2 linked regions of the Drosophila melanogaster genome follow. Each later gene encodes a partner of the first gene's protein in a complex. Each region holds a gene or a part of one and is shown on either strand. Other genes may lie near its edges. A codon is read from its position in the direction of its gene.

The links.
Region 2: the proteins of Nedd4 (region 1) and comm are in contact, whole or in part, in an NMR structure (PDB 2EZ5), measured with the Drosophila melanogaster proteins. Residues at the interface, in NP_648993.1 of Drosophila melanogaster: Gln538, Ala540, Pro541, Asn542, Phe546, Ile548, Asp549, Arg553, Arg554, Thr555, Thr556, Trp557; in NP_001261891.1 of Drosophila melanogaster: Thr227 (codon at 7,376), Gly228 (codon at 7,379), Leu229 (codon at 7,382), Pro230 (codon at 7,385), Ser231 (codon at 7,388), Tyr232 (codon at 7,391), Ala235 (codon at 7,400), Leu236 (codon at 7,403).

What each region holds. Positions count from the first base shown.
Region 1 is NT_037436.4:17,528,384-17,533,149, forward strand, and holds the start of Nedd4 (Nedd4), read left to right. Parts: upstream 1-1,697; 5' UTR 1,698-2,039; intron 2,040-2,425; 5' UTR 2,426-2,463; coding exon 2,464-2,652; intron 2,653-4,766. Other genes in the region: Edc3 (enhancer of decapping 3), read right to left, coding at 1-237, 526-1,085. UniProt on the Drosophila melanogaster protein: Essential E3 ubiquitin-protein ligase which accepts ubiquitin from an E2 ubiquitin-conjugating enzyme in the form of a thioester and then directly transfers the ubiquitin to targeted substrates.
Region 2 is NT_037436.4:15,722,426-15,730,476, reverse strand, and holds the start of comm (commissureless), read left to right. Parts: upstream 1-2,046; 5' UTR 2,047-2,272; coding exon 2,273-2,780; intron 2,781-7,205; coding exon 7,206-7,810; 3' UTR 7,811-8,051. UniProt on the Drosophila melanogaster protein: Controls axon guidance across the CNS midline by preventing the delivery of Robo to the growth cone.

The sequences.
Region 1 (4,766 bases):
CCATCTCCGTTGCTGACGATATCTATGGGTTTGCTGCTGCCCAACGACAAACCAGTTGCCTCGCCGCTATCTCCGCTGCTGCTGCAGTAACTCTCCCGGGTGTTGCTCACGTAGGAGCCCAGTTTCACCTCGACCTTCGGCGGTATCATGTTGCCAAAAAAGGCGGCCACGCTGTTGGGAGTCGTTGATATCTGCGGCTGCTGCTGAGCGCTGGACGCACGGGATGTTTGTGGTGTTCTGGATGACGAAACAAATATAAAAGTTAGATGAAACCTATTTTAAATACGACGCTCAGTTGGCACAAGACCTATCTGAAACGACTGTTGCTTTTTATCAGTAATAAAGGTAATTTACTCATTTCGTATCTCAAGGTTGGTAAGTTTAAACATAAAGATGGCTTCAAAATGAAATGAAATAAACACAATCGTGCTGACTGCAAAAATCTTCATACTTTTTTTTTTTATAAAGAGCTAACAATTAATTTAAATTATTGGCATTGCACAATCGTTTAATGGGCCATATTACCTAAGGGTGCCATTTGAGCCGTTGGTCTCGATTAGCTTCAGCTGATGCATCTTATCGCTTAGCGCCGAATTGAAGTTGCCACGTGGGCCCGAAGAACTCGATGCTCCGCCAGCCGCTACCCGTCCATTGTCGTTGGCCCTTGACCGCGGCGTCGATGGCAGATCCTGTTCTCGTTCCTGCTCCTGGAACTGCTGTTTCTGTTGCTGCTGGAGTTGTAGCTGCTGCTGCTGCTGCTGGAGTTGGAGCTGCTGCTGCTTGCCCAGGATGTTGGAGAAGTGGGGCAGCTTGACGGGCGTGGGCTTGTTGACCACTGGCGGCGGCGCCGTGTGCCCATCCAGATCTTGCTTTGCGGGCTCGATGAGATCGATGCTGCGAATGTCCGTGCACTTGAGGACCACCTCGGCGTTCTGCTTTCGCAGCGGCACGCCATTGCGGAAAGCCCTCACAATGGTGATCTCCTCGGCAGAAATCTGCTTGATCAGGCCCTGGAAGACGCCCAGGACCTCGTCGCAGGCTATAGACACTGCACAGCCGATCCAGTCTTGATCCGTCGGACCCATGTAATCAGTTTTCGATACTCCCTTTGCGAATGCGACAACACGTTGGATCGGCTTGTTCTGCCCTGGCTAATGGTTGTTCGAAATGTTTGCTGGCCCGCGCAGAGCTGCTTGTTGTTTTCGTTTCTAATACGCAATTTCGCCACTAACTAACTACGCACCACGCACCTCTCTTCCTCTTCTTCCTGCTGCTGCACCGCCGTTGATTCTAGTGTTTTGTGGCTTAAAGTCGGGTGTTTTTGAATTATTTGGCTCTGCGGTCAAGGGGTTCGGTATTTTGTCTCTTTTAATCAATAAATGCACCAACCGTTGCAACACATTGACGCTAAAACTTATTGGATTTCTCGTTTCATTGGGATTTTCACTGCTTGCGTGTGGCCGTTCGTTGGTGTTCAGATAATACCGAACAATACCCAAACTAGCTGCGTGGCAAATTAGTTTACTTAATAAATTTATAATAATATACATATTTATAATAACTACAAATTTCATGCTTTACGGAAACTTCACCTTATTTTGATAAATATTTGGTTCAATAAAAGCCTGCGAGCCATTTTATGAATTTAACAAGTGCTTCCCTTAACTGTTAAGGCTTCTGGGTGCTGTGGTATGTTCTCAGTGCGCGTACACGGTCACTCTGGCAGTTTTGTTCTCGATTTTGTCGCCGTTTTGTGCATTTTTCCCGTCCGGTGTTTAAATTTTATTTAATACTGCGCGTGCGACATATATACAGGCACCTATAGCCGACCGATATCGGCGATTAAGGCATGTGCGCCGCCGAAGCGGTCAAAGTGATAATCGCTTGAATAGTGAGCAGTGTAGAATTTGCCGTGTGATAGAAGTACGTGATGATTTTCCGCAAATAGTGGATAAAGGCGAGCCCACACGCATACCACCGCAAAATATATACATAAATCGGGCGAAAATATAGTGGCCCGTGTTTGTGCGTGTGTAAACGTAAGTGGAAAACTTGGGCGAAACTTTATGCTAACCATAAATGGTCTACAAAGACATGGCTTCGCGCCTGGCTAATTATCAAGAAAATGTTTGGCTTTTGTGCTCTATCACCCACACCTCATTCACACAACACACACACTAGAAACACGCTTGCACGGGGGCAGGGCGGCAGACAGAGATGGCATCTAGCACAAGTACCGTTGTTCACTTTGTTTGCTGTCTTTGTTGTCTGTTCGCTTTTCTTTCCTTCGCTTCTGTACACCCTTCCCCCTCTTGTTACCTTATGGCAGCCTCCTCTTCTTCTTCTTCGTGTCATTTATCGCTTAATTTGCACTTCCGCTTTGCACATATTCACCCTCTCTCCTTCCGTCATTCTTTCATTGCAGAAGCTTCTCTAAAAGAAACAAACAACAACAACACAACAATGTCGGCACGTTCCAGCGGCTTGGTGGCCGCGGCGGCCCTTCCCGTCCCGTCGTCTTCTTCCTCGGTGGCCGGCGGCGACGTGCCACGCCCGCCGCCCCGCCGGCGAGCGGCCTCTGTTGCGGGACAACAGCAAACGCGCCAGGAATTTGGAAATGGTTACACTCCTCGCAGATCGTTGGCAGCAGTGGTAAGTTTACATAAGTGCAGGTGACGACGAAAAGAGAGAGCTTTACCTTGAAGGACAACTTAGGAACTCTTCTAACATCTTAGGAATTTTGTAGGAGCACCTTATGGTTACAACCTTATTTCACAACGCATCCAACTCTGATTGAAAAATTTCATTCCATTTTTGATAAAGCCAGTTAACTAATTATGGGTTATATAAACGCGTATGTATCAAATTAAGTTATCATAACACCAAATAGTGACCGTGGCACCTATATGTTTATCAATTTTTAATAGATAGTAAGGTATTACTTACTATGACATCTTATAAGATACTCTTATCAATTGTTTTGGTTTCGTTGCAAACTGACTAATCAATAAATGTATCTCATTTTAAAGGGCATACCGAAATGTTGTCTTATCAAAACTAAGCCAACCAATTCCTATAACCTTTTATAAGGAATTGCCCACAATGTATCCACCATTTTGTTGGTGTGAAGATTTGAAAAGTATTTATCAACGGGTGGTGCTGGGGGATTTGGTCGCCCTTATCAGTGCCTCCGCTGTATTTAGTGTTTCCATTTTTACGATGTTTTCACTACTAATCTAATCTGCAGATTGCCAAACAGCTGAGTCGTGTAGATGGGCCATGTAGATTTCACTCCCCTCATGGATGATAAAGTGGGATATATGTATGGTGGGAAAAGTAGGGGATCTACAATTCCTTCAGAAGCCGAAAAGCACGAAAAACTTACGAACTGTTCTTATCCAATACCTAGCTTTTACGGTGTAAAGGTCGTTGCATTTCGTCAACCATTAAGTTAGATGTAGTTGTATTTCAGGAGTGACTTCCATAAGTCTTTTTTTAGGAGGGCCTTTAATACAGCACATTACATTTTATCGTTTAGTCATTGTTTGCTTGTACCAATTACTTTATAATGTTAAAGAAAAAGTAGCTTTTTTGCGGATTTTTTAAAATCGAATAACATTTCTTGACTTGCACTTTCCGAAGAGCAGAAAAGTGCCAAGAAAAGTATTAGGAAGCCGCCAGAAAATAAACTGGCATCATCGTTGTTTACTTAGTGTCTGGAATGGGCTTTTCTATTGTTTTGCTCACTTGTATAAACAAATAATTCGCTCGCCATCTCAGGCCGAACGGAAACTAAACTAATTTATTTATCTTAATTTGCCAAAGATGCTAGCCACTTGAGCAGTCATCGGCATCTTCGAAGCTAATTTAATTTATCAACACAATTCTTGGCCGCCGCCTCTTGAATGTTGTGTGTCTACACTTTATGGTTTTCTGGCTGCACAGAGAGAAAAATATTGTTTTAACTTTTAATACCTAGGCTATGTTTAATGGTTTATAAAAGTATTTTAATTTCTAACAGAACTCGCAGAATTATATTATTCATAGTTTCTAAACGTATTATGAACTGACATTTTGTTTTGTGTTTCTTTTACTTTCTTTTTTAGTATCCCAGTGTTGGTTGTTTGCTCTGTTTGCTTTCACTCAATGAGCGATTATTTGACGGCACTTCAATTCTGTTTGTCGAACTCATTGAAGCGTTGTCAGAATGGCTCGAAATTCCTGTCCAAAAAGTGGGAGGTGTATGAATGAATGGCTTATCTTCATTAGTGCTTTTTTTGCCGCAAAAGTTGTATGCCCCCGCTAATTGAGCTCTGTTATTTGGGTTATTTAATCCAATTTGCACGTCAGCCGGCAAGCGGTGACGTCGGCCAATCGACGCACTTGTAAGAACAGTCGACGTCACAATTGCCTTAGCGGATAGCCTTAATGGGCCGCTTATCAGTCAACAGCTGGTCAATTACATCCATTGAATCCATTGCGTCAGCAGTCAGAACATTCTCATGTCTATTATAAGTGATTATACGCTATTTAGCTGAACATTATTAATGGAATTGGAGGGATTCCCAGCCCAAAATACAAATTTCACACAGATACGCACGCACACATAGATAGTCCACTCACATCAACGCACGGCGCAGCCGATCAGCTGTTTTTGTTTTGTTTTGCTTAAAGACACTTGTTCGATGGCAGCTGTCAACAGTGGGAGTGAGAAAACGCGAGAGGAAGACAAAAAGAGTACAGGGCTAAGCTGTCATTTTAAAAAG
Region 2 (8,051 bases), 1.8 Mb from region 1:
ATACTTCGCTGCACACAAACGAAAGAGGTGTAAACTTGTTTATCAAACCCCACTTTTGTTGGAAAATATCGTTCGGGGTTGGTTTTCCATCCGAGCAGATTGAATGCGACAAGTCAAGTGATGTGAATTTAATTTGCATTGCCATCAAAATTGGATTACAAACGAAGAAATGCGAACAAATGTTATTGAAAGCTCAAAGAGGAATTCCAACAAATCAAATTGTGTGATGACATTTTTTGTGGTATTCTACAAAGGTGGTATACAAGTGAATTATTTCGAGTGTTTGCGAGTATAGTTTGCATTTGTGAGTGGGCTAGCATAAGAAAATATTTGTGATGCCAAACTTAATTCCATTGTTTGCTAAAATTGTACAAAAGCATTTATTTCATGCTTTAAAAATATATAAAATTATTAAAATGATTATTCTTATTGTACAGCCTGATTTATATTAAGTCCCACTTATTTTGTTACCACTACGAATTTCGACTACACCAAAGACCAACAAGTTATTAAATATACCAAGGAAATGATTATTTTCTAGCTGCATTTAGGCCATCAAAGTTTCCCTGAACTACCCAACGTACTGAAGTATGCCCGCAAACACGCATTGATTAAAATCGCTGCAGTTAAAACTTATGCTCAAGTTCAAAATTAGTCGAAAGCTAATTAACGATAAGCTCGGCTTGCCAAAGTGCAGTGCAGAAGTTTTCGCCTGGGCTCGGAAAAGTTTTTAATGCATTTATCGAGTGACTTTGGTCTCTAGCTAAGTGCTTATTATCGGGCATCTATTTCAATTTCCCCCTGGCAATTACGAGGCAGTCGAAACTACACATTGTAGTTGTCGGGAAAAACTACGTATTTTCCAGCCGCCCAAGACCTCTGACATTTTGAAACACCCACAACACACCGTGTGACCTTTAACCCAGGGCAGTTCAAAGGCAACTGCCATCGACTGCTCATTTTTAGTTTGGTTTTGCGCCAGGGAAATGGGAAAATTCACTCACCAGAGAGAGCGAGAAAAACTGCAAAAGAGAGAGAGAGAGAGAGAGAGTGCGCAATCAAGTGGGAGAAAATTTCCCTTTTTGAGTCCAAGTCTCTCCGAGAAGAACCGGTTTTCGAGTGGGTTTTCGAATGACATTGGAGTGAGTTCGGGTGCAGTGCATTTGTTCCACTTTCTGAGCAGGATATTTTTGGCACGTTTTTGTGTCGTCGGAGCCTTTTGTGCATTGAGTTTTTGCCACACTGCCGGCTTATGGTCAGCATGAGCAGAAATGAAGCGTGCTGTGGGTCGAATCCCCTTCCTGATTTTTTGTTGTTTTGTACCCCATTTTAGCCTTTTTGGAAGCAACAGCAACTGCTGGCAGCAGGAAGCATTGCGGTATCCTGACGCTCGAGGGACTCATAATGGTCGAGATTTTGAGTTCTGGTTACAGTTTGGGCTCTGGGCTACTTTAAAGCCAGTGAAAACTGGGTTAGTTTAAGATGGCTAAAAGCTAGACGTCACATAATTTCCATAAATTCTTCATGGCCCAAACAAAACTTTTAGCTGGCCATAATTCTTCGTTTGATTTGGCGCAAACTTCGCGCTCAGGCTTATCAAATGCCTCAGAACCCCTTTTTGCCTTTCATTAAAATCAGCACAGACTGAAACTTTGCCACAAAGCAATTTGCTGGAAAAACACAAGACCGAAAAGCGTTGGAAAAACTTTAAACAACGAACGTGACCGAGGTGAAGTTTTCCCTTCTTAACAGCGTTTTTTTCTCTGGTTTTCGTACGGAAAATATAGTTTTTGGTCAAACTAGGTCAGCTGGAGAGCAAAAAATAAGGCAGGGAGAAGGCGAAAGGACGTCAAACATTTAAAAACATAAAAGACATGCCAGAAATTGCATGCTTCTTTAAGCAAGGACTTGACTTGATTTCTTGAGTGCCTCGCCCACGACTCACTCAAGAGCGAGTGAATCGAGAAAATGAGTGAGTGGAATGGCAAATTTCCCGCATGGCATGGCATTCTCAGCGACCCGATGTAGGTATTATGCTCTGCCAGCTAGCAGTCAGTCAACTTATAGCCGCTCCAGCGAACGGACGCACCGAAAATCGAGCTATAGAAACTCTACGGCAAATAAAAAACCCGAAATCGAACCCATGACTTATATATAGAGCCAAACGATTTGTTTACGTGTCGTGACGCGAGTGTGCCAGCAGTTGTGTGCGTGTGCCAGACGCAAGCAGAAAATAAAGTTTACAAATTAAAATAAATCAAAGGCAATCACCATGATTAGCACCACGGATTATCCAACAGTGGAGACCACCACAACTGCCGAAGAGCTCTATGCGGAGTACATATCCGCGCCGGCCAGCAGCATGAGTCCCGCTGCAATTGCCGAGCACCTGCAGCAGAATCAGATCACCTTCGAGATACCCAGTGCCCACGATCTGCGACACATCGACGCCCTCAACTCCTTCAACGCCCTGCTCCAGAGGATTGGCAACGCAGCGGTGTCCTACGATCCCGCTCCACCCAGCGGCTGGTCTCCGGATGGCAGCATCAGCACCGAGCAGCTCTCCAAGTCGGTGGTTCTGGATCTGGCCGACTTGCGGGATAGGTCCGAGGAATCGGGCGAATCCTCGTGGTGGAGCCAGATCTTCGGGGATGCCGACATGCATGTGATCATCAATTATCTGTGGATCGGAGTGGTCAGCTCGCTGGTCATTCTGTCGCTGGTCTTCATCCTCTTCAGCTGCTACTTCTACAGGAAGTTCCGCACTTGGAAAAAATGCAGTAAGTTTCAGTCGGACAGCCACCCAAATATAATCCCCACTCATTTTCCGCCCCCAAAATGCCATACATCTGGCTTTTATGTGCTCGACTTTAATCAAAATGTTTCGCCAAAGCCTTATCTCCGGCCATTTATTCAGCTGGCTAAACAATATAAAATGCAGAAACAGAAAGAGCAACCGAAACAGGTCCCACCACCACCCATCGGTTCCATCAGCTTGGGAGCTTTGCTCCATAGAGCTCCTATGGCCGCAAAGCCTCATAAATTTTTTGGCGCGCTTCGAAATTGTCAGCCAGCCGTTTGCATCGTTCTGTTGTAATTTTAGATACACAAGTTTATTATGCCACAAAATATATGTGCCGCATATTTATAATATTAAATTGACTCGCCTCGGAGGCATTGTGCCCCTTTTATGATAGCGATAATGTACGAGCTGGAGAATATGGACGACCTCGTCGACCCTTCTCCCTCGAAAAATTGGAATTGTTGCCCCGAAATTTGTTTTGCAGGCGAAAGGCGTGAAATTGTGCCTTGATATTTATATATTTTGTTTTGGGGGCCGAGGCGGTAAAGAGTAATATAATAAAATAATGATGGACCATATCACTCAGCTGCGTAGCTAAAGTCTGAGGAAATGTGGCCTTTGTAAGTGGGCGAGATTGTAAAATATTTATTTTGTTTGATATTAGTTTAGGACCTAGAAACATTAAAAATTGAATTTCATATTTTTCTGACATCTCTCACACTTTTAGTTCAGCTCTGGCAGTCCAGTATTAAATCCAAAATCAATCAAGTTTGACACAACTGTTATCAAAATCCCACCTAAATCCGACCCAGATTACCAACACTCAACCCAAATAGAGCCCATGTAAATATATATCTTATCTGCTCGAAACCTGTTGATCCCAATCCCAAAAATAAATCATATGTTTAGGCACTTTACACATAATTACGGAGCACCACAACAAAGAACCCAACTCATACTAAACCAAACAGAACTGAACAGAACCTAAATGGAATTGTATTGGAGGGGCTGGCTAAACAACCTACACAACTAACAAGACTCCGACTCAAGTGTCAAACTTTTTGCAGACCAATTTAGCCAAATGATTTATTTAGGCCGGGCAGCAAGTGAAGGACTACGGCCAGGAGCAAACTTTCGTCCTGTTCCTGGGACTGTGAGCACAACTTCTTGGGCCAAAGGGCCGTGGCCTTAAAGCCTGGCCAACTCAACTGTCAAACTGTCAATTTTGTGCTAACGAGCCTTAAAAACTTTGCCCTGCGATTACGACACGCGACCAAGAAGGGTGGATCCGGAAAGCTCCATTTATATATATATATATATATACGTGAAATATCAATTTGAGCGATATGTGTTGCCTGCTTTCGGCCGTCCAATGCGTCTAATTAGTTTCGTTAGTGTCGTGTTCTGTGCTTCTATTTTTTTTTTGTGTGCTCTTCCCTGGTCCTATGGCCCAGATAGATAGCAAGTGGTTGGTGGGATAGGTTGCCCGGGATACTGGGATACTGGGATACGAGAAGTACGTGTGTCATTTATAATTAAGCAACTAGGCCGGAGTTCACTTCGGCTTTTGTGCATTTAATGCCAGCTACGTGGCGTCTCGCAGTGTTTACCTTATAAATGCTTAACGAGGCCCAAACACAAGAGTGTCTGGCCCAGTTGCCATTCAGCCAGCCAGGCAGCCAGGCTTACACCTTATTTATTAAACTGTCACACACACTGGCGATGGCAAACTTTCGGTCCTTTGGCTTTGGCTTGTTATCAATTAGTGCAGCGGAGGACTACGACTGAATTTATTAACAGACCAGATGAAGTTACTAAATTAAAGCCAAAGCCAAGCCGAGGAGCAACAGCCACTGTTTATCATGTTGTATAGGTCCTGCATAATTTAGTTGCGTAAAAATGTAATTAAGCGTAGCATATTTGCCCAAGACCAGAAAAAGTTGCTCTTAGCCCGGCAGTCCTTTTAAATTTTTAATGGTTTTCGTAGCGAGCAGCGCAGAAAAACTAGAAGCTGCTCTCTTTTTCGGCCATGGAAAATATTTTAGTTGCTTTGGTAGTTTTTTACCCCCATTTTGGCAAACTCAAATTGAGTGCTGTAATTAACCAAATTGTTTTGTAGCCGACCAGCACTTAGTGGTATGGGAAAGGCATACATAATAGAGCTGGCAAAAGTTTTAATGGCTGAGACTGCATCTTTTGTGTGGGAAAAATGGAAACACTCGAAATCGAATACCCATTTCAATGGGCGGCTTAATAACAATTGAAAGCAGCTTAAATACAATGATCATAATTCTTAAATAAAAAACTCCACTCAGATCGAATAAAGCCAGAAAAGTTGGGGCGTTTAAAAAATTAACAGACATTTATGGCAACACAAAATAAAGCAGCTCACTGCTTTCCATTTGCCAGTTTCCATTCGAGAGTGCCAGCTTATTGCGATGAATTTAAATTGTTGCATACATTTGGGCGCATCGACAACAGAAATGGGGAAAAAAGACAGGATACAAATGCAAAAATAAAGAGAAAGAAGGCAAAGTGCCAATGCAGCTGAAAAACAAAAGGCATCAACGAATGGCGTTAATTTTTTTTTGCCAACCGCACAGAGAGCGAAATAAAAACTAAATTTTGTATCTAAATATTTGTTCCGTTAGTGATATTTTATTTTCCTCAAAATAACATCACTAACTGGTTTGCATAATAGAAAGTGAATAAAAAAAAGACATTTGATATCACCATAGGACTTCTAGTTAGTAATATAAATTTTCTGCGTGCATCGGCCACCTTTTTCCCGATTTTCCGACTTTCTTTGCGTCCATCTGCAATGCTTGAAGCGGCTGAGTTGGTGGATGGGGAGGGGGGGGTACACCTTTTTCAGGGGCGGCTGTTTGTTCAACACTTGCATAAAATATGAAGCCTGCAGTCTGTGTATGAGTGGGCCACGCCCCCTTAGTCCAGGGCCCCGTTTGCCGGCTGTCTATCAAACAGAGAGCAAGGAAAAAAGCACGGAAACAAAAGTCGAAAAAGGGAAAACAAAGAGACAGAGTCCTCATGTAGGGTGTTCTGGCCGAAAAAAAGGATTTATATATGTGTGTGTGTGTGTTACAGTTATAACAATAAATCAACAACTGCTGGCAGCCACTGTAACTGCTGACTGGTTCTGCTACCGCTGCGTTTTAATATTGTAATGCGCAAATTTTTCAACAGGCTTTACCCCATGCCACAAAAACCGAAATACCGACCACCTTTCCTTCCTGCGAGATGCGCTTTAATTGAAAAAGCGTTTTCGGGAACAGAGAATTTATGAAAAATACAGCCTGAACAATTAAAAAATTGCCGAGTTTTTCCACAGCGAGGCGGCAACCAAATTAAATGACACAAAAAATGGACAGAGGCGATCCCCTATTTATTTATTGAATGCAGTTTAAATTGCATTTAATAATACTGAATACCTGCCACTTTTTGCAATGCCACATATGCTGGGCCGAAATTCTATTTGAGGCAAATTATTGCTTCATGCATTTTTAATCTGCTGTAACTCAAAATACAACCAAATTAAATTCTTTGATGGCCTCGGCTTAGAGCGCGTGTGCATGGAAATTGGAATTTTCCAATCTTAATTTAACTCTGCTTAATTTGAAACATGCACACACACACACACTCAAGCACACACACATGGACAGCAGCTGCGGCATTATAAAAATTAAATGCTTTCTGCTGCCTACTTTCCGGGGCTGTCGAGCTTTTATTTCATTGCAGTTGGCAGTTGGCGAACGTGTATGTGTGAGCCTGTGTGTCTGTGTGTATGCGAGAGAGTATTTTATTTCATTCCATTCTGCCACGCGCGCACTTCCGGCATATTATTGCCTAGTTGCTGTTGTTGCTTGGGTGGCAGTCAGTCCGCTGTGAAGGAACTTCGCCTGTCCTGCCATCCTCGCCGGCATTTCCGGTCAGCACAAAACTTTCCGCTTCCCCTTTTTTGCCATTTTTTTCGCCTTTTTTTTTGCCTCTGCATTCGGGAAAGTTCAAGCGTTTGCGCCTTTACGCTAAATTGAATTTAATGCCACGGGCCCGTCCTTCTACAAATGTCCTTTGACATGGACAAACAAAGTAATGACAGAGTCAAAACTTTGATGCCTGATTGGGAAGCACCCATTCCGCTATTCCTACACAGCAAGAAATGAAAAAAAATAGTATCATGAAATAAATTTTAAACAAAAACGAATTTTAATTTTAACTATTAGTTACGTGGAATATTGTTATATCTCAATGTTTAAAGAATCTTAATTTGTGCTTTCTGCATTGCTTGCCCCAAAAAGTCCCTTTTTTTTCTCTGTCCATCTAAACAATAGAAACTTTCTGGTGACAAACTCAACTAACAAACTCCGTCTTCTGTTTATTGCAGATAAGGACATACGTGCCCAGATCCATGCGGCCAGTGACTCGTACTCCTCGCACCTGGTTGGTTGCGATGCCAGCAGACTGCTGTTGCACCAGCAGATGCAGCATCCACATCATCGGAGCAGCGAGGCTGGGTTCTACCAAATCGAATCGCCGCCCTGCTACACAATCGCCACCGGATTGCCCAGCTACGATGAGGCACTGCATCATCAGCCTCGGCACTTTGCCTACGGCATGAAGTTCGTTTATCCCTCGTTGGCGGCCGTGCATCATCATCACCATTGCATTTCCAATTGGGAGAAGCAGGAGCCGCTGAATAAGCTGCAAAAGTGCAAGCTGTCAGCGGCAGCGGCAGTGGAGGAGGATAAAGCCGACTCCTCATCGTCCACGTCTGCATCCGCGTCGCCATCCTCTTCGGAATCCAGCAACTTGGCCACAGCAACGCCTGCCATTTGCATTAACATGCCAAGTGGGCGGCAGGATGAGGAGGTGGATAATTCAGATTCCGATTCCGCAATTGCAGTTGCAGTGGCAGTAGCACAAAGTTTACAGCCGGCGGCGCCTGCCGACGATGATTGCGCCTCATTGGTCGTTGTTGTTGCCGCGTGATTGCCCACCCAGGGGTCAGAGGTCAGGGAATAAGGGGTCAGTCGAGGGTTTAGGGCCGGGAGTAGCAGCCCAATTGCTTAGTCACTTGTAAATAGTTGCATCGTCTGCTAATGTTGTTTGCCCCATGTAATAACATATATCTCCGAGAATGTACCCTCTCCCTCCCTCTAAGAAAATTTAGTTTTGGTTTTTAGTTATCTGTTATATATTATTGTATTACGCAAGACTGAGTATTATTTAT